6 separate regions of the Mus musculus genome follow, and all the other regions are reported to be linked to region 1. Evidence: microRNA targets listed by miRTarBase, many of them from high-throughput screens and not tested one by one. Region 1 holds a microRNA gene; each other region holds the end of a gene's coding sequence.

Region 1 (3,122 bases):
TAAATAAATCTTAATAAATAAATAAATAAAATAAATAAATATTAAAAAAAAAAATAACTGAGGTCCTGGGGTGTCCTTAGAGAGAGAAAGACTTTAACTAAGGTCACACATACAGTCGTGCATCTGCAGAGTCACAAACATGTGTAGCTCCCAGGGCAGCTGCCTTGGTTACCTATAGAGACAGGAAATCAACCCTAGGGCCCAGACTTCCCAAACAGGCCCACCCCACCAAGGTCCTCCATCTAGGATAGTCACTGGCCCTAACTCCAGAGTTGAGTTGTAGGAACCTGCAGTCTAGACTGTCAGCACACTCTCACTGCGCCCCTCTGTGCTCAGGTGTCAGCAGCCTAGCCACAAAGCAGCGAGCTGGAGGGGCTAACACAGAGGCCGCAGCTCCAGATGACCTCAACACACTCCGTCCATATGGGAGCCTTCATTCCTTTACCCTTCTAGGGCCTGGGCAAGATTCCTAGATGTCTGAGTGGAGAGTATGCCATCTCCACCCTCACACCCCAGCCAGAAGCTCCAAAAGGGGATCGCATAGACCAGAAGACACTTCCTTGTGGCCTCAGAACCTACCTGAAGAACAGCCCTCAGGGGTTGAGGGCGGGAGAGGAAAAGCCATCTGTCTCTCCCTCACCAAGCTTAGGATTCCCACCATCCCTGTGAGGGCCACCCTGGAGCAAGGCTGGATCCCAAGTCCTTTTCACCGAGAAGAGGTCGACTTCATGACTTGTGACCTCAGGGGGGCGCAGGGAAACATTAAGGGTCACTTCCAGCTGCGCCCACCCTCTGCCACTGCCTGGTGGTCTGGAGACAGGAGTCCCCTCTCCTTCCTGGTGATCGGCAGGTTCCGGCACGGTGCAGACCTTCAGCAGCTCAGCACTTACACCATAGTTGGCAAGTCTAGAACCACCGGGTCCCATTACCTTACCGGTGTGAGTTCTACCATTGCCAAAAATGGTGGGAGGCCTCCAGCAGCCAGACCAGTAAGCCTATGCTGAAGAAGAAGCAGTTAGGGTGGTTTTAGGAGGGCGCTCTTCCCACAGTTAACACAAGGTCCAGACTATGGTCCTTCGGCCTGTATGGTCCTGTTCCAGTGTAAAACCTCCTCAAGCCCTGCCTGCCCTCCAGCCACCTCCCCCCCACCCCACGACCACCTCCCCCCCTCCCCACGACCCACAGTCCCTGTGTAGGGGCATTAGGCAGTGATGGAGCCATAGCCACTGCTCTCAAAGGCACTGTACCCCAGGAACCTGCCAGTGGGAGCTTGGGAATGGGTGCACTCTGGGTCAGGGAGTCCCCTGCTTGGTAACCAAGGAAGAGAGTGGCATGGGGCCAGCTTGCCATCTACCAAGGCCCCCAGGTGGCATCCTGTTTAATCCCTTCCTGACATTCCCCAGAGCCTAAAGTTCCTCAGCTGTCCCACCCCCCCACCGGGAGGGAGGTAAAAGGTCAATGCATAGATCCCACTTCCTTGTCAAGCCACAGGCAAACCACTGCCCGGCCTGTGGTCTCCTCCCTGAGGCTGGGGAGGAAGAACCCTAGGCTAAGACCTTCTCTGGAGAGTCTAGACAGCCATCACTGCAGTCTAGCAGGGCCAGCCAAGCGGAACACAGCTGCATTAGCACATCCACACAGCATTCTCCCAAGTGCAGAGATTTCCTTACCCATCCCTTCCAAAAAGACACACACCCCTGCAGCCTTCAAGGAACCCCAAAGATGGTACACTTCTTTGCCCCCAAACCACCCATGGATTCATTTCCATAAATCTAGAGGAACTGCTGGCTGGCAGGGCCAGTGATGGAAATGCCACCGGTCCCTCTGTCCTCCTGCAGGGCAGGGAGGATGAAGGACCCAAAGATGATGTTTTGGAAGGGCAGAGATGCAGACGAACCCTGGACACTCAAGCTGGTCACTGCCAGTGGCCTAAGCTTGGGTGCTGAGATGACTCCACTGCCCAGAGAAAAACTTGCTTTATAGCTGGGCCAGAATTGTGGGCCACATCTGTGATCCCAGTACTGAGTTCAGGGGCTGGGGTGATCTGCTTGGCAAGGAAGCTCCTTGAAACCTTGACCTAGAGTGTGTCCCCAGTGGGGACACAAGCAGGACCTTGGTTTCTTGGCCACATACCTCCCAAAGGCAGGCCACACATTTTTATCACATTATAAAGTGTTAAGGCAAGCCACTGGTGAGTTGAGTGGGTCACTCCCTCCACTCCAGTGTGAGCGGGGAGGGTCCTATCCTGTCAGCACCCCTAACTGCTCAATCTCGGGCCACACTAGCTAGGCTGGGAGCGAGCAGCCCCGCCTGCCTGCGATCAATGGAGCCAGATCGCATTTCCAAGAGCCAGAGGACTGCAGAGCTGGGGCAGGGACCCGGATAATGGCCTGGATTGAATAAGCAAATGCAGGGGTGGGGGAAGGGCGAAAGTCTGGAATAATCCACCTCACAGGGACTCTGGGGAGCGGCTGGCCCAGGCAACCCCAACACCAGGCAATGAGGCAAGGAGCCTACCCAGGAGGCAGCAACTCAGGCACCTAGGAGCCACCGAGCCCGAACAATATAAGAAGGTCCCCAGTGGATTAAACTGCACCAACTGCCCTGAGAGGGTAAGGGTAAATCCTTCCGCAGGATCAGACAGCCAGGAAGAAACTGGTCCTGCTTGACAGGGTGAGCCCTCCCCTCCTACCGCACCCTCACCAGCATGGTCCTCTGGAAGCTGATTTTCTGCGGAGTCCAACCAGCCTTGTGGCCTCTGCTCACCGGCAGTCACTACTATAGGTGAACTTTCACCCAGGTCGAGAACAGGCTAGATGAGGAGAACCAGAAAGCTATGGCCAGTGGTCATCCTTTGGGAATGCAGGCCCCAGAGGGGTGGAGCCCTGAGCCTGGAAAGAAGTATAGAACTGGGCCATACCAACACCTGCTAGTGAGGTCTCAGCAAAGCCTCCACCAAGGCCAGTGTGAGAGGCAGGACCACTAGGGGTCTGAGGACTGCTTTGGTTAGAGGGACCCAGCTCTGAGTGGCCCCCTGAGTGCTGGACAGGAGCAGAGTTGGGTTCACAGAGGCAAGACCCGAAACAGAGACCTCACCAGGGTGAGGCGGTGAGGTCTCTTCC
Region 2 (3,122 bases), not on the chromosome of region 1:
TTCCTCTCTCTATGAGGTGATATATGTTCACCTCCCCCCAGGAAAGTCACAAAGCATCTGTCTCATCTTGTTCCCTCCTGTTTGCTCTACCAGTCCAAATGGATCATTCTAAAATGCAGATTTATTTCTGTTCTTTCCCTGGGTTGATCCCTCTGCAACTCCCCGCTACCCTCCGAACGCAGCTCAGCCAAGGCCCATGTGGTCCTGTCTCATCTCGGTGTTCCTAAGCTCCTTCTCATGAGGAGCTGTGGGTCTACAAGGTTGCCCCACTCTTTTTGTGCTTGCTGTGCCTCAGCTGTGAGCTCCCTCTGCTGTCCAGTCCCTTCAGGATTCTCCCTGGCAGCTCTCTGCTTGTGTTACTGCTCCTGTCCGTATGCACGGTCTGTGTTCTATGTGTCATCGATCATGATGCGACCAATTGTGAAGAGGCTCAACCCCCAAGTGTCTGGTTGCCTCCCAAAGGGAGGACGTGTGTTCAGTGGCCTCTTCCCCTTGAGGACAGGATTGGCATATGTCCAATGGACAAGTTATGACTGATCCCTGAGGGGCCTCGAGAGAGTGTGTAAGGAACCCTACAGAGCTCTGAGAGGCCAATGGAACATCAGAGTAACGGAAAAGCTCTGAGCATCTCCTCCAGGATGGTCTTGCAGGGTAGGCAGAGTCCACTCTCTGCATGCAGTGGTCCTTCCTGAAGGTGTCTTTTCTGTGTCTTGAACCTGGCCTATGGGAAGTTAAGGAGAGGATCTGTACAAAAGGAATGCAGGAGGTACTGAGGGCCTAGGGACAAGTGTTAAAGGGAGGGAGAATGTATGCCAGGCCACTCCAGGGAAGAATAGAGGTGTGTGTGTGTGTGTGTGTGTGTGTGTGTGTGTGTGTGGTCCCTCACGGCCATTGTGCATTGCCTACACTTGTCTCTCCTGACACATCTGAATAGCACTTTGTCCAGAAAGCTCACCTTGCACTCTGGCTGCACCAATGGCCTCCCCCTGCCCTCTACACAGTCTGATGGAAGCACCACAACTCTAGAGATATACTGGTCCCTTCTGCCCCTCCCTCCTCCCACAGGCTCTGAGCCTCTATCTTCGAATGAGATGAGACAGTGGAAGATGTTCTGAGGGTTGGCTCCTGACTGTGCTGTCCCTGTGCAGTCCCACTATCGTTAAGGGCTTGCATACACCACATGGCTCATAACCCATCCCCAGGGCCCTTTAGCTGTCTCTTCTTGCACTGTATCTTCCCACCCTCCTCCACACGTGTGAGGGTGTTGTGTGGATCCAGGGCCATACGCTCTCACAGAGCCTTCTGGACACACTGTGTGGATGGGAGCCATTCTCAGCTTAGCACACACTTGGGAGTCCCTAAAAGGAGACTTTGGAAAGTAACAATAACTGGTCCTAGACAGACTCATTCTGCCAGAATCTTAAATGGGTAGAACTAGTTTTTTGGTTGTTTTTTTTTTTTTTTAATTAATCCATTATTCTACGGGCAGGGTTTCATGTATCCCAGACTGGCCTGGAACTTGCTGTGTAGCTAAGGATGGCCACACACTTCTGATTTTCCTGTGTTACCTTCCGGGCCTTGAAACTACAGCTGTGTCCCCCATGACAGGTTGATATGGTGCTGGGGACTGAGCCTGGGATTTTGTGCATGCTAGGCAAGTGCTCTATCACCTGAGCACCTCCTTAACACCAACTTTTAATTTTGTATTTTAAAGAGGTTATGTCTTTATCGCCAGGGTGGCCTCCAGCTTGCCTCCATCCTCCTGCCTCGGCTTCTCAAATATGTTGAGATTACAGGGATGAGCCGCCACATCTGGCTTTTTGTATTTTTAAACGAACATCAACCTACGTGCATCTTTCCACCGGAGCCACTGGTTTTCTTGGGTGCGGCAGGCAAGGCCTGGGGAATTCCCTACAGCTGGAGGTCTGCCAGCCCTTCTTCATTACCCAGCACTACCCAGCCTCCGTGCTACCCTTCTGCCACCTACAGGGGTCGCTGCGAGACAGCCCGCCCAGTTCGTAGAGTTTCTTTCTGATCCCCTTAGGAAAAGCCAGAGCCACTTTGTATAAATTAGCGTCTTTATTTCCAACACCTGAGCGAGCGAGCCTCGAGGCTCGCCCGCTTGAGGAATAAACATACAAAGTTTTTGTTGCACTACACAGCATGCCTGGGAGATAAATATAGCCCAAGGGGCTCCCGCTCTGGCCAAGCAACTCTTATTTACACGAATAGATTACAAAAGTCTTATATAAAAAAATAAGTGGTCCTGAACCGCGGGAAGGGGGAGAGTGGGGTATGGTTACACCTGTTACACCTGAGACCTGAGTGGCCTCCGCAAGCTGTGGGGAAAAGTGGGTGCCAGGAGGGCTCCAGAAAGTGACAAACAAAAGGATGTGGAGGGCAGGGCTTAGGTGTGCAAGGCTCACCCCTGTGCTATGAGGAAAGGAAGAGCGCCTGGCCACTCAAGGATCAGCTCTGGCCCAGTGAGGTGCAGCCAGAGTGCAAGTGGCCTTCGCTGTGAGCCGCATGAAAAAACAAACAAACAACTGAAGGACTACAACAACAACAACAAAAAGGACTATGTCCTTTCTTTGGGGCTGGATCTAGGACAGACTTCTGCTCTTCCCTTCCCTCTGGAAGAACGGCTTCGAAAGGACAGTTGGGAAGAGTGTCATTTAAGCTTCATCTTTTGGGCGTGAAGAACCAGGGACACCATCCCCAGGAGTGCCTACGGTGGTGCGCCCTCTGCTGCTGCAGTCGATCTCTCAAAGCACCTGATAAATCGCATTGGGGTTTGAGCCTGCAGGACACTGAGGGGCGGCGTCGGGAGACGGGGTCTGGGTTCCCTGTTCTGTGTCGCTTAGGGATGCCCCCTCTGGCGGACCCGGAGGCGACTCTGGTGGTGCATCTGCCAAAAGCAGCGCAGGCGCAGCGGGGCTGTCTGTGGAGATGCGCTCCACTATGCTGGACAGGCAGTCGAGGCTCGACACAGCCGCACTCTTCCCTGGCCTGGACTCTGTGAGGGGAGTGGAAGGTTAGTAATCCAAACTTGCGGCCCTTCTCAAGTCTCCTGCCCATAGGCACGGAGCTTTGTAGCAAAAGGGAAACTGAGGACTTGCTAG
Region 3 (3,000 bases), not on the chromosome of region 1:
GCTGTGCAGTTGCTGTACTCGGGCCCCACTGTGTCTCAAGACTTAATATGTGCCTGGGTTGGGTTTGTTTTTCAGGAGACTGAGAGTGAAGCTGAAGATGACAACCTTGATGACCTAGAGAGGCACCTGCGGGAGAAGGCCCTGCGGTCCATGCGGAAGGCTCAAGTGTCCCCACAGTCCTAAGCGGACATGTTTGTTATGTTGTAAATTTTATTTGGTTTGTACTCAATTCAATTTCAAAATTGCTAAAATGTGTTTGAGCTTTAGACTATAACATTTGTTGTAATAATTGCTAGGTTGAAGTTCACCATGTTTAAAAAAAATGGGGGGCATGGATTTACATTACAAAGGCGTCCACGGTGTATTAGTGACATTCTTCCATTGACATTTAGAGTGAAATATTTTATGCCAAAAAAAAAATCTCTTTTTTAAAAAAGGGGGTTTGACTATTGTTGGCATTCTTGTGGTTCCTTTAAATGCCCTTACCTCTCCCAAGAGGTTGTTTTGTTTTGTTTTCCTCCCTTTTCTCTTGAATTTTAGCATCCACATAAATTATGCTTCCAACCTTGTATAGGTTTGTAAGCTTGCCCAGAAGTGAGACCACTGTTGAAGTACCACAAAAGTTTGAATGAACGAGTGAGTGTTCACTCTTTTGTCTGTGGAGTCTGCTGTGTGGCAGGATCCCAGCCCTAGAGCTGCAGGGCTGCCCTGTGGGACAGCGCAGCCTAAGCTGATTTGGATCTGGGTTTCTCCTCCAGGTAGGGTTGTTTTGTTTCCTTCGCCCTTTTCTTCTCTGTGTAAAGGCGATTCCCTAGACCCAGGATGGACCCTTCAGTTATAGAAATTTGTTTATGGAACCCGGTGGCTCCCGTCATGTTTCTCCTTACTCATCCAATTGGTACCCACAACTGAAGAGCTCGTGTATTTGGCGGGCTGGAAGGGCCTGGACAGTGTCTTGGTTTCACTGTTTTATTTTATTTTATTTTTTAACTAAAGCTATATAAAGCTTGTGGATTAAACAGAATAAATTTCTAAATTTAAGAACATTGCCACTCACATTTATTCGCCTGCAGGGGAGGACGGAGTTCAGGGAAAATAGAAAGTGATGTCGCAGGCTCTCCCCTTCTTACTGAAATAACTAACTGCAGAGATGTCAGCAAGGGAGAGGGGGGTGTGTTCTTGGAACATGGAAAGCTGGTGAGGAGAGAGGCAGTTTACAGCAGGGCATGGTGTCAGTGTGAAGGACCTCCCAGGTGGCACTTGGACCTGAAGCTTGTGACACCAGAAGTCTGAGCCTAGTCTTTGGAGGCACAGATAAATTTGATTGTGACTTCTAATAGATGAAACTAGAATACAAAATGCCCACATCTGAATTTCAGGAAAGCCTAAGGGTGTTTTGTTTTTTGACTGAGACAGGGTTTCTCTGTATAGCCCTGGCCGTCCTGGAACTCACTCTGTAGACCAGGCTGGCCTCGAACTCAGAAATCCACTTGTCTCTGTCTCCCAAGTGCTGGGATTAAAGGTGTGCGCCACCACTGCCCGGCCCTGTTTATGACTTTTAACCAAAAGACAGACACTTAAGACTTCGGTAGGGCCAGGCTCGAACCTAGAAGGCCCCTTCAGAAAGCCCTGGATTAAGAATCTGGACCCACACCAGCTCAGAAGAGAAGGGAAGGGGAACGGGGAAAGAATTGTGGGGGTGGAGTGACCAGGAGAGGGGCAGTGAAAAAAACCTGGGAAATTTAATGATTCCACATATTTCTTTATAATCCCCAACATTTACCCTAAAGTTACACATATAAAGACAGCTTTCTCGTTAAAAATGAATCTGGAGCTGGACTGGAGAGGTGGGGTGGCTCAGTGGTTGGAAGTATTGCTGCTCTTCCAGAGGACCCGACCGAGTTCAACTCCCGGCACCCATATGGCAACTCTTGATTGTAACTGCAGTTCCAGGGTATCGGACACCCTCACACAGACATAACGTGCAGACAAAACAGCAATGCATGTGAAATTAAAAAAAACAAATCTGGGGCCTTTTGTAGTGGTTTACTCCTTTAATCCCAGCATTCAGGAGGCAGAGGCCGGCAGATTTCTGAGTTTGAGGGCAGCCTGGTCTACAGAATGAGTTCCAGGACAGCCAGGGCTACACAGAGAAACCCTGTCTCAAAAAAAAAAAAACTAAACTAAATCAAAAGACTTAAGCAGTGAGCTGGTTTTACATGGAACCTACAGTGAGTTATAATGAAGAAACAAGGTACTCAGTGAAGACAATCCTAGAGGACTCTAGAGCTGGGAATAGTCTCATGTGCAGAGCTTTCTGTGTTCTTCCATGTGGAAACCAACCCCGTGTGAGACAGGAGAAGCAGTGTTGAGCGACTACAATGCGGACTCCCTGTATAAACAGTCGGAGTATTTGCTTCTGTTTAGCCTGACAGTTGGAACATTTGTGGCTGACCCATGCAACACAGGAGCTTTCATTCTTTCCAACTGAAACCTGACAGCAGTCCTTGCCTATACAGCTAGTTGAAGCTGTTTAGAGGCTAACCCAGTCTCTACTCATTTTTGAGTCCCATCTCAAAAATGGAGCACATGTCTGTAACTTAGGCAACAGCAGAAGGGCCTTCCCCCCTAGTTAGTTGCTTGTGAACTCAACAGAAGCTAGAGTTACTGCACAAGGCCACGCCAGCAAGATCAGTCAGCATCTCAGCCAGCAGCACTAACTGGACTCAAGCACAGGAGGCGGTCAGCTTCCTCGGCACCGTCTTCATCTTGAAGGCTCGGCCATCGTTTCCTGACCCATTTCTGAACATAGAAGTTACTAGAATTTGGACCTCTGTTTAGCATCATTTCTATAGTGTCCTCATAAATTAAATGGTGAATCAGCATAAAACCGTAAGGTGAGACATCACATGTACATCGTAGTCATTCACGGAGCCCACTGGGAGTGGAGGGACAGCCTGATCTACATAGCAATTTCCAGGCAATTTCCAGGCCAATCAG
Region 4 (3,122 bases), not on the chromosome of region 1:
CATGCCTTGGCAATGCAGCTGTCTTCTGAGTCATCTCTGTTCCTGTAAACAACCTATATTCTCATATGCCACTGTCAAACTCACTGGTCCTCCAGGTCGGGCTTTGGTGGTATCTGTACTCTGCTGTCATTGGTTCCTTAGCTGGGGTGAATAGGTGTTTGCTCACATCTCTCTAGTGCTATACTACAAACACTTAACTATATCCTAGAACAGAACTCAAAAGGTCTTGTTTCAACTCGGTTCCCATAAGACAAATAGTAAACTTTGCTCCCTCCTTTCTTGGCCTTAGTGTAGGTCATTTCCCTAAATGGAAACTATAGTCATCAAGTGGCTACACACCTCATTCCCACCGATCTCCACCCTAGCAAGCACCATTCTACTTCCTGCCTTATGAATTACTTACCTCATTTAAGCTTACCAGACCCTACCATGGCCACAGGGTCTATCCCCTATCTGCTCTGGTGGTTCAGGCTAGGCCAGGCCTGTCTTCGGGGAGAGGGTACCACTTCCCAAGAGCATTCCCTAGATGTCCGCTCTCACCTACAATGATCATGTTGGGCAGCTTTCATGAGTAACAGTGGGCTCAGGAAGAGAGCTTTGCCCACCTCTGTGTTGAGGGCACAACTTCAGGGCTCCCTCCTCTGTACTAGAGACACATACCTGAGGGGTCTTGTGGAAAGAGCAGCCTGTAGCCGGCCCAGCCCTGGCTTTAGCTGTGTTTGTTTCTACGTTTCAGCCACTTTAGGTAAGATTTAGTGCTAAGTCTGAGGGCCACAGAAAGCACTACAGTCCTTATTTCCTTCCTTCCTCCTTCCCTCCCTCTCTTCCCTCCTGACTGGATCTTGCTACATTGACCTTGCTGGCCTTGAACTCAAGTGCTAGGACTAAAGGTGTTTACCCAGCCGGTGTTGTCTATAAATCTTACTTCAAAGTCAGTAAGTGCTGGGCAGTGGTGGCGCACGCCTTTAATCCTAGCACTTGGGAGGCAGAGGCAGGCAGATTTCTGAGTTCGAGGCCAGCCTGGTCTACAAAGTGAGTTCCAGGACAGCCAGGGCTATTCAGAGAAACCCTGTCTCTAAACAAACAAACAAACAAACCCAAAGTAGGCAATGCTGTGTACGGTTCCAGAGGGCTTGTGGTCATCTAGAGAAAATCTTTGGCTGTTATAGAAGTGGATATTCTTATTTTCCAGAGGTCCAGATCATCACCCACCCTAACTTTGCAGGAGTCAGACACCATCCCAGCAAGGCCACCAGCCACTAGGCTCTGTATATGTGTAGTCCATGCCTTAGGGGAGGCCATCTGGCTGGAGGCCTCTAAATGTTTTGCTGAGCAGTTGCTGTTGCTTGCTGCAGTTCCACCAGTAGTCACCAGGTGTCACCAGCAACATACTCAGTATATCTTGGTGGCGGCTTGGACTCAGGATCGCAGACACTCTAGAGTGACCTTGGTTCCTGTCACCTCTGTCCAGACCCAGAACAGTCCCCAGTTCTGTTCAGTCACAGATGTGCTATGTCACCTCAACCAAAGCCTCCTGAGCCTTTTTGAACTGTATCGCCAGCGCATTATCCTTCCTGGTATCAGGGCCTGGCTTATTGCTCTGCCAGACACACGACAGCTGGGGCTGGCAGGTGTCTTAGATGGCCAGGGAGGGTCACTGCAAGAGTAGACTCCAGAGACAGTCAAGATCCTCCCACTTCTGTCAGGAGTGTCCTGCCATGAGGACGACATCCCCTGGAGCCTCAGGGACCAGTTCCCAGGACCCACCCTGATGTGACCCCAGCCACACCCCTTCACCTCCCACCCACTAACAAGGCTGTGACGCTCCACACCAGAAAGCAAACCACAAGCTTGAAAAGCAATTTTTATTGAATTTGGAGGGACAGTTTCTTATTATAATAGTAAAAATGCTGAAGCTGAATGTTGTAAAAAACGACATGGTGCAGCAATGGCCAGCGTCTGGCCGGGAGGGGACAGGCCAGGGTGACGGACAGCGGGAGAGGGAAAGCATCTAAAAGGACAAGTGCTAGGAGAAGGGCTCACGTGAGGCAGGCGCTCCCAGGGTACCCGCTAAGAGCCACCACGCGGGAGCGGGTGCGGGAGGGCAGGGGCTCTCCTGTCACCAAGATTAAAATCCCCTAAATGTCTCTGAACAGCATGGGACACAGCAACAAACTGGATTCTTGTTCCTCTGTCAACCTCACTTGAGCCCTGGCCATCCCATCCAGCCCTAGGGCTGAAGCAGCTGTGACCTCTCCCCGCCCAGAGGGAGAGGGCCAGTTAGCATACCACAGGGGGGTGCTTCTGGTGCCTTCTTGCTGGACTTTGGCCCTGGACCCTAGAGACAGGTGGCGGCCAGGGTGGACAGGCCAATGGGGGCAGTGACGGGACCCACCCAGACCCATGAGCCCACATTGCACATGGTCGCGTCAGTCCTTAATAGTTTTCTACATGAATCTAATTGTTCTGGGCACTGAGGCCACATGTGTGGTCTCAAACTGGATGAAATAAATTAAGAAAAACCCCAGGATAGTTTTCCTCCTGACCTGGCTGGGAGGTAGGCTGCTGCCCACAGTAGAAACATCCTCCCCTGGTCCTGGAGGCTGGCAAGGTTCCTCCCCAGCGCATCCGAGAAACAAAACATCAGGTTCAGATGATCCATGCGGGGCTTCTGGACTCGGCAATGCAGAGGAGCGTGGAGCTGCCAGCCGCTGCCCCAGGCCTCAGGCTGTGCCACTGGCTGAGTAGGAGAACTGGGGGAAGTGCGGCCTCCGCTCACTGTCCACACACTCCATGCTGTCATCTGTGGGCCACAGGAGGGCTCAGACCATCTCTAGAAACAGCCCGCCCACCTGACACATGCCAGAGGATACAAGGGGGCCCTGTGAGGGGGCAGTGACTCTGGCCCTCAGAACACTCCCTCCCTCCCCGCCAAGCTGCTACCACCCTCCAAAGGGTTTGTTTGATTCTTTTAGTTTTGGGGCTGAGAGAGAGCTTAGTGGTTAAGAGCACTGGCTGCTCTGGTAGAGGACCCGGGTTCAGTTCCAGTGCCCACGTGGCTACTCACAACCACCTGTTAACTCCAGTTCCCCCCCAAAAAAAGCAGGAGTGCAAGCCAGACA
Region 5 (3,122 bases), not on the chromosome of region 1:
AATGTAGAAGAGCACAAGTCCCACGCAGAAGCCCTGAACGTCCTTCCTAAGCAGTAACCCGCATTTGCCTTTGCCTAGGTCCCAGCAAGCATCAGAGCGCTGTGACCTGCTTACAGTTCAACAAGAACTTCGTAATTACCAGCTCAGACGACGGAACGGTCAAACTCTGGGACTTGAAAACGGGTGAATTTATCCGAAACCTCGTCACATTGGAGAGTGGGGGGAGCGGGGGAGTTGTGTGGCGGATCAGGGCCTCAAACACAAAGCTGGTGTGTGCAGTCGGGAGTCGGAATGGAACTGAGGAAACCAAGCTCCTGGTGCTGGACTTTGATGTGGACATGAAATGAAAAGCAGACATGATGAATTTTGTCCAACTGTGTAGACAATATACTCCCTACCCTTCCCCCTGCGCAAAAAACAAAAACAAACAAACAAAAAAATGAAAAAAAAAAACAGAAAAAAAAAAAGAGAAAAAAGAAAAGGAAAAAAATCCCTTGTACTCAGTGGTGCAGGATGTTGGCTTGGGACAACAGACTGAAAAGACCTACAGACTAAGAAGGCAAGAAGAGACAAGAGACCGTAACTGACAGGAGGCGGCAGCTGTCGCATCTCGCAAAGGCCTCACTTGTGACTGAGGGGCAGCTTGGCAAGACGACTCTCTAAATCCAACCAGGTGCAATTATTCTTTGTTTTCTTCTCCAGTGGTCATTGAGCAGAGCTACATCAGCGTTGTTACCGTCACCTAGAAAGGAGTGGCAGTAATATCCAAACACGGGCTGCTTATCTTCTAATCAGAGCATCTGCAACAAACCGTCATTTTTCTGAAGTGGAAAAGCTTAAAACAATTACTGTGAATTGTTTTTGTACAGTTATCATGAAGCTTTCTTTTTTCTCTTTTTCCTGTTTCTCTTCTTTTCTTTTTTCTTTTTTTTTTTTGCCAACCATTGCCAATGTCAATCAATCACAGTATTAGCCTCTGTTAATCTATCTCTTTACTGTTGCTTCTACTCTTCAATGCATATGTTGCTCAAAGGTGGCAAGTTGTCCTGGGTTGTGTGAGTCCTGAGATGGATATAATTCTTGATGCTGGTGCTAGAAGTAGGTCTTCAAATCCGGGGTCGTTGTCCCACCCCTGTACTGTACTCCCAGTGGCCAAACTTATTTATGCTGCTAAATGAAAGAAAGAAAAAGCAAATTATTTTTTTTTTATTTTTTTTCTGCTGTGACGTTTTAGTCCCAGACTGAATTCCAAATTTGCTCTAGTTTGGTTACAGAAAAAAAAGACTTTTTTGCCACTGAAACTTGAGCCATCTGTGCCTCTAAGAGGCTGAGAATGGAAAAGTTTCAGATAATAAAGAGTGAAGTTTGCCTGCAAATAAAGAATTGAGAGTGTGTGCAAAGCTTATTTTCTTTTATCTGGGCAAAAATTAAAACACATTCCTTGGGACAGAGCCTGAGGTGCCTGTTCTGTGGAGAAACTTCTTTTTGAGGGCTGTGGTGAATGGAAGAACATACATAGCAAAACTGACAAGATATTTTAAAGATATATAAAACACAAAGGAAAAGGAGGTTGCTGGTCAGTCGTAGCATCTTACAGTATTGGGGAAAACAACTGTTACAGTTTCATTGCTCTGAGTGACTGACGTGAGAGGAATTCGCTCTGCAGTGACGCTGTCTGTCACTCGCCTACCAGCTCGACGAGCAAGAGAGCGGGAGTCAGATGGTCCGCCTCATTCACCAGGAGCCGTAACTCAAGCTGAACTGTGAAAGTGGTTAACACTGTATCCTAGGCCGTCTTTTTTTTCCTCCTCCTGTTTATTTTTTGTTTGTTTTATTTATAGTCTGATTTAAAACAATCAGATTCAAGTTGGTTAATTTTAGTTATGTAACAACCTGACGTGATGGAGGAAACAACCTGTAAAGGGATTGTGTCTATGGTTTGATTCACTTAGAAATTTTATTTTCTTATAACTTAAGTGCAATAAAATGTGTTTTTTCATGTTATTGCGCCTGTTTCTTCCACTAGATAATACTGTTTCATTATAACTATATAGTATTTGTGTCAGATATTTTAAATAGTCAAGTTTTGGGTTTCTTACATCCCCTGCATTGTGACTTAGAAACCAGCACTTCCGAGCTCAGCCAAAGCTGAGGCACTGCAGATGGCACCCCGAGCTGTCAGGGAGGCCACTCTTCTGTTTGCATTGTGTGTATGAACATGAAAGCTCGTTTCTTCAGTCATAAAACTTGGAATTACAACTAGAAGCCTTGTAATAATGAGTTCACCTTCAAATCCCATATACCAAGTGTTCACCAAAGCACTCGCACCATTCTTCTCTCAGGCTGAGAGAAGTAGCCTCTGTCACCTTTGACTCAGATGGCCCTGAGAGCTTCAGCTCAGACAGCTTAGGTGGTGCCTTAGATGAAGTCGCGGGATGGCAGGATTGAACTCGTTCCCAAAGGCTGAGTGTACGCTGCCTCTGATGAAATGCTAGCAAACTAAAACAAGGTTTGAGGGGAAATGCCTTGTCTTGTTTTGTTTTTTATAGTATTTACTCTTCTGCTTTTATAGAGGCTAGAAAGGCATACATCTCTAATAATCTCAATAACCCAGGCTATAGGAAATAAATCTTAAATAAACATGGAGTCTTTCTCTGTAGAGAATGAGGTTCTCATAGCCACAGCATCTGTCCTCTTTATTCACAGAGCCACTGTCTTAGTTAGGGTTTCACTGCTGTGAAAAGACACCATGACCAAGGCAACTCTTATAAGGATAACGTTATAATGGGCTGGCTTGCAGGCTCAGAGAGGTTCAGTCCATTATCATCAAGGTGGGAGCATGGCAGCGACTAGACAGTCATGGTGCAGGAGGAGCTGAGAGTCTACATCTTCAACTAAGGTTGCTAGGAGAAGACTTGCTTCCAGGCAACTAAGACAAGGGCCTTAAAGCCCATGCCCACAGTGACACTTACTCCAACAAGGCCACACCTCCTAATGGTGCCACTTTGTGGGCCAAGCATGTACAAACTATCACAGCGACACTGCTCAAAGGCTAAGTCACACTCTATCTTAAAGTGGACCCTGAGCATAAAGAGGCACTGTCTTCCACACTGTTGAAGGAA
Region 6 (3,101 bases), not on the chromosome of region 1:
TCTCCCGGGTCTGCCGCCGCACCCGGCCTCGCCCACACCCCCGGGCGTCAGTGCTTCAGAGTTGCACAGGGAGGCGACGGGCGGGCAAGCGGGCACTCGCTCTCCCGCCCGCCGCTCCCCGGACGGCGCGGGCCGGGGTGGAGGTGGGGGCTGTGGCTCCGCAGGTGCGCCCCGACGGTCTCTGCCCTGCGCTCACCCCCGGCTCTCCCCGCAGACGCTGCAGAAGCCCGGCGCGAGTTCGACCGTGACTCCGGACCCGCAGCGCTCGGCGACGCTACGCACCCGCCGCAGCTGCTGGCGCGCGTGCTGAGCCCCGCACTGCCCGGGCCTGGCGGCCTCGTCCCGCTACCCGGCGGATCCGGAGGCCGCCACAGTCCCCCGCACGCCGATCTGCGCCTGGAGGCGCCGGGCGCGTCCGAGCCGCTGCACCACCATCCCTACAAGTACCCGGCCGCCGCCTACGACCACTACCTCGGGGCCAAGAGCCGGCCGGCGCCCTACCCGCTGCCAGGCCTGCGCGGCCACGGCTACCACCCGCACGCGCACCCGCACGCGCACCCGCACCATCACCACCACCCCGCGGTGAACCCGGCCGCCGCCGCCGCTGCTGCCGCAGCAGCCAACGTGTACTCGTCGGCGGCCGCGCCGCCCGGTGCCTACGACTACTGCCCCAGATAGTGCGCCCGCGCGCCGACCCCGAGGGCCATCCAAGGACGCGCTCCCCATCTGGGGAGCCATGCGGGTTTCCCGCCCGCCAGTGCCAAAGCTCCCGTCCAGGCGGAAGGAAGTGGTATTTATTGTTCTCCGCGAGACCTCGTCGCCTCCGGCCCGGCCGGCAATTGCAGTGTAGACGACCGAGAGAGCCCCGCCTGCGGGCGGTGTAGATACGTGTAGATATGTGTAGATACTGTAGATACTGCACCGGCGCCGATTTCATAAACGGTTTTGCCTCTTTTGGAAATTGCCGGTGTGGCTATTCTTTTGCATCTAATTCGAATGGGCCGGGCGGCTTTGGGACACAGAGACTTAGTCTTCCCAGCCCTGGTCACTGGTGTGGGTGTGGAGTGAGGGTCTCCCCAGCTCTAATCGCCCCTCCCTCCCCTTGGGGTCGCTGCCTCCCTCCCTCAGCTCCCTGGGTCCACTACAGGCTGAGCATTCGGTTTTCCGGGGCAGGCAGCGGCTTTCACTTCAGCTCACCACACCTGCAGCTGCGGGTGCAGGACTTGGGCCTGCACGCTGACCTGTTTACCGGACTAGGCCTATAAGTTTTTCCGTGAAAGCCAGGAATGATGTTCGGGACAGGACACTGTCCATCCGGCCTCGGATGGCATGCGGAAAGACAGAAACAAGCCGCGGGCTCGGCTCTTCCAGCGTTGCCCTGGCCTGGCACCAGCCCAGAATTTCGTTTCCCCTGTTTATTGACTTTATTCACTGAATGTCCCCACAGAGTTATTGGGGGTGGGGGCGCACAATGACAGTGGTCATGAGTCATCTTGAAACTCCCGTGTGAAGCAATTTTTCCCAGGCCAGGTGGCCGGGTGACCTGACTCCCCATTAACTCAACACCATCAAAGTGGCCAAAGGAACCCTTTGATCCCTCCCTTCCTGAGCCCCAGCAGGAAGGGCCAACTGAAGGCCAGCCAGAGTTAAGGCTGGCTTATGCCTCAAATAAATGGGAAATGTCAGGTTCTATCCCTGGCCTTCTGTTTCAGTGTGTTCATGGCACTTGCTGCCATCAGAGACATGCCTTCCTTGGGCACTTCCACATGTCAACCCCAAGTCAGTCCAACTTAGTCTCATGTCTGATCTGTCCCAGGTTGGGTGGTCACCCCATTCCTTCCAAGAGCATCTAGTCTATATGACCAGAGGGGACAAAGCTATAGGGACACCCCCTTGAGTACATCTATGGACATTCATTCTCAACTCCTCCCCTGACCTTCCTTCAAATGCAAGCTTCTTTCTATAGGTGACAGTGGACTCAAGGCCACCTGTTCCACACTGGCCTGGGAAACCAAAGACACTCTATGTCTCCTGGAGTAGCCTGGGGTTTGTCCTGCAGAGGGCAATGGTCAGCTTCAGGCTGCCCCTCTCCCTCATGGAATGCAGCCATTTCACATTCTTTTAACATGCCAGGGATGTGGGGCAGAGCTGTTTCATTAGAACCTCCATGTCTGTGTTATTTAAGCTGAAGTGAGCTGTCGCAGCACCCGGGTTTTTGTAAGCAGGGGTGGAACACACACAGAGAGCAGAGACCCTAAGTGCAATTCACTGACCTTGAAAATATCCCTGCTCCCAGAGCTGGCTCATTCATCAGGAGAGCTGGGCCACTGCTAGTACACTCACTGGTGTGATTCCTAGTGCTAGGTACTCAGGCACTGTGTTGACCAGAGGCAGCAAAGGAAGGGACTCTCAAAGTTCAGGGCTTCTCCTCTCTGTCCCAGGGATGAACCTTAGCACATCTTGTAAACAGGAGGCTGGGCAAGGGCACACTGCTGTCATGTCCTCCCTCTCCTTTACTGCTTGGCACTGCTGACCCCTCTATGGGCAGCTGCCGCCAAACAGCCCTTGGCTGCCATATAAGAAATGGCTTTCCAGAAATTTCTTCTTCTGTGATGGCCCATCTCATCTGTCCATCTGGCTTCTTTTGGTTTCTCTGCCTCATGAGGGCTAAGATTCAAGGAATGTGTCACCGTGCCCTGCCTTGTTTTCTGAATGTGTACATTCTCCAGTTCAGACTTCGCACACCTGAATACGATGGTATTGATGGTGTTTGGAGGTAGAGCCTTAATCAGGGGTGGCAATGATGTTGGGGGGTGGCAGGAGCAGGTGCCCAAGGATCCACTGAGAAGGATTAGTACCCAGATAAAAGACACAGGCTCCAAAGAGATGGTTCAGTGGTTAAGAACGCCCGCTGCTCTTCCAAAGGCCTGGAGTCCAGTTCTCAGCACAGCACAGTGTTTCACAACCACCTGTAACTCCAATTTTAGGAGCTACAGTAGATGCCTTCCTCTAGCCTTCATGGGCACTGCACACACATGGTGCAAAGGCAAAACACTCATAGATATAAAATAAAAATTAAAAAAAATTTCAGAGGGACCCCT

The links. Region 1 holds the annotated microRNA mmu-miR-182-5p (UUUGGCAAUGGUAGAACUCACACCG, at 935-959, opposite strand). A microRNA usually pairs through its seed, bases 2 to 8, with sites in the 3' UTR of a target mRNA and lowers its output. Matches are read on the target gene's strand: a 7mer-m8 pairs with bases 2 to 8, a 7mer-A1 pairs with bases 2 to 7 and ends in A, and an 8mer does both.
Region 2: miRTarBase lists Myod1 as a target of mmu-miR-182-5p. The part of its 3' UTR that is shown has no 7-base or 8-base seed match.
Region 3: the mRNA of Srrm1 is a reported target of mmu-miR-182-5p. Seed matches in the 3' UTR shown: 7mer-A1 at 407-413.
Region 4: the mRNA of Akt1 is a reported target of mmu-miR-182-5p. The part of its 3' UTR that is shown has no 7-base or 8-base seed match.
Region 5: miRTarBase lists Fbxw7 as a target of mmu-miR-182-5p. Seed matches in the 3' UTR shown: 7mer-m8 at 935-941 and 7mer-m8 at 945-951.
Region 6: the mRNA of Tbx1 is a reported target of mmu-miR-182-5p. Seed matches in the 3' UTR shown: 7mer-A1 at 759-765.

The regions. Positions count from the first base shown.
Region 1 is chr6:30,165,028-30,168,149 of GRCm38, forward strand. Mir182 (microRNA 182) reads right to left here and starts at 965; the gene lies at 891-965. The region is part of intron 1 of Mirc35hg (microRNA cluster 35, host gene); the gene reads right to left.
Region 2 is chr7:46,378,038-46,381,159 of GRCm38, reverse strand. It overlaps Myod1 (myogenic differentiation 1), which reads right to left. Exons shown (of 3, transcript NM_010866.2): 3 at 2,068-3,016. The coding sequence ends at 2,766. Among named protein-coding and RNA genes, the nearest start is that of Myod1, 3.1 kb to the right of the region's middle.
Region 3 is chr4:135,318,530-135,321,529 of GRCm38, reverse strand. It overlaps Srrm1 (serine/arginine repetitive matrix 1), which reads left to right. Exons shown (of 18, transcript NM_016799.4): 18 at 76-1,045. The coding sequence ends at 183. Among named protein-coding and RNA genes, the nearest start is that of Gm12984, 14 kb to the right of the region's middle.
Region 4 is chr12:112,651,975-112,655,096 of GRCm38, forward strand. It overlaps Akt1 (thymoma viral proto-oncogene 1), which reads right to left. Exons shown (of 14, transcript NM_009652.3): 14 at 1,847-2,803. The coding sequence ends at 2,724. Among named protein-coding and RNA genes, the nearest start is that of Mir6939, 5.8 kb to the right of the region's middle.
Region 5 is chr3:84,977,195-84,980,316 of GRCm38, forward strand. It overlaps Fbxw7 (F-box and WD-40 domain protein 7), which reads left to right. Exons shown (of 14, transcript NM_001177773.1): 14 at 79-2,004. The coding sequence ends at 347. Among named protein-coding and RNA genes, the nearest start is that of Gm30944, 44 kb to the right of the region's middle.
Region 6 is chr16:18,579,570-18,582,670 of GRCm38, reverse strand. Tbx1 (T-box 1) reads left to right here. Exons shown (of 7, transcript NM_011532.2): 7 at 215-967. The coding sequence ends at 678. Among named protein-coding and RNA genes, the nearest start is that of Tbx1, 5.8 kb to the left of the region's middle.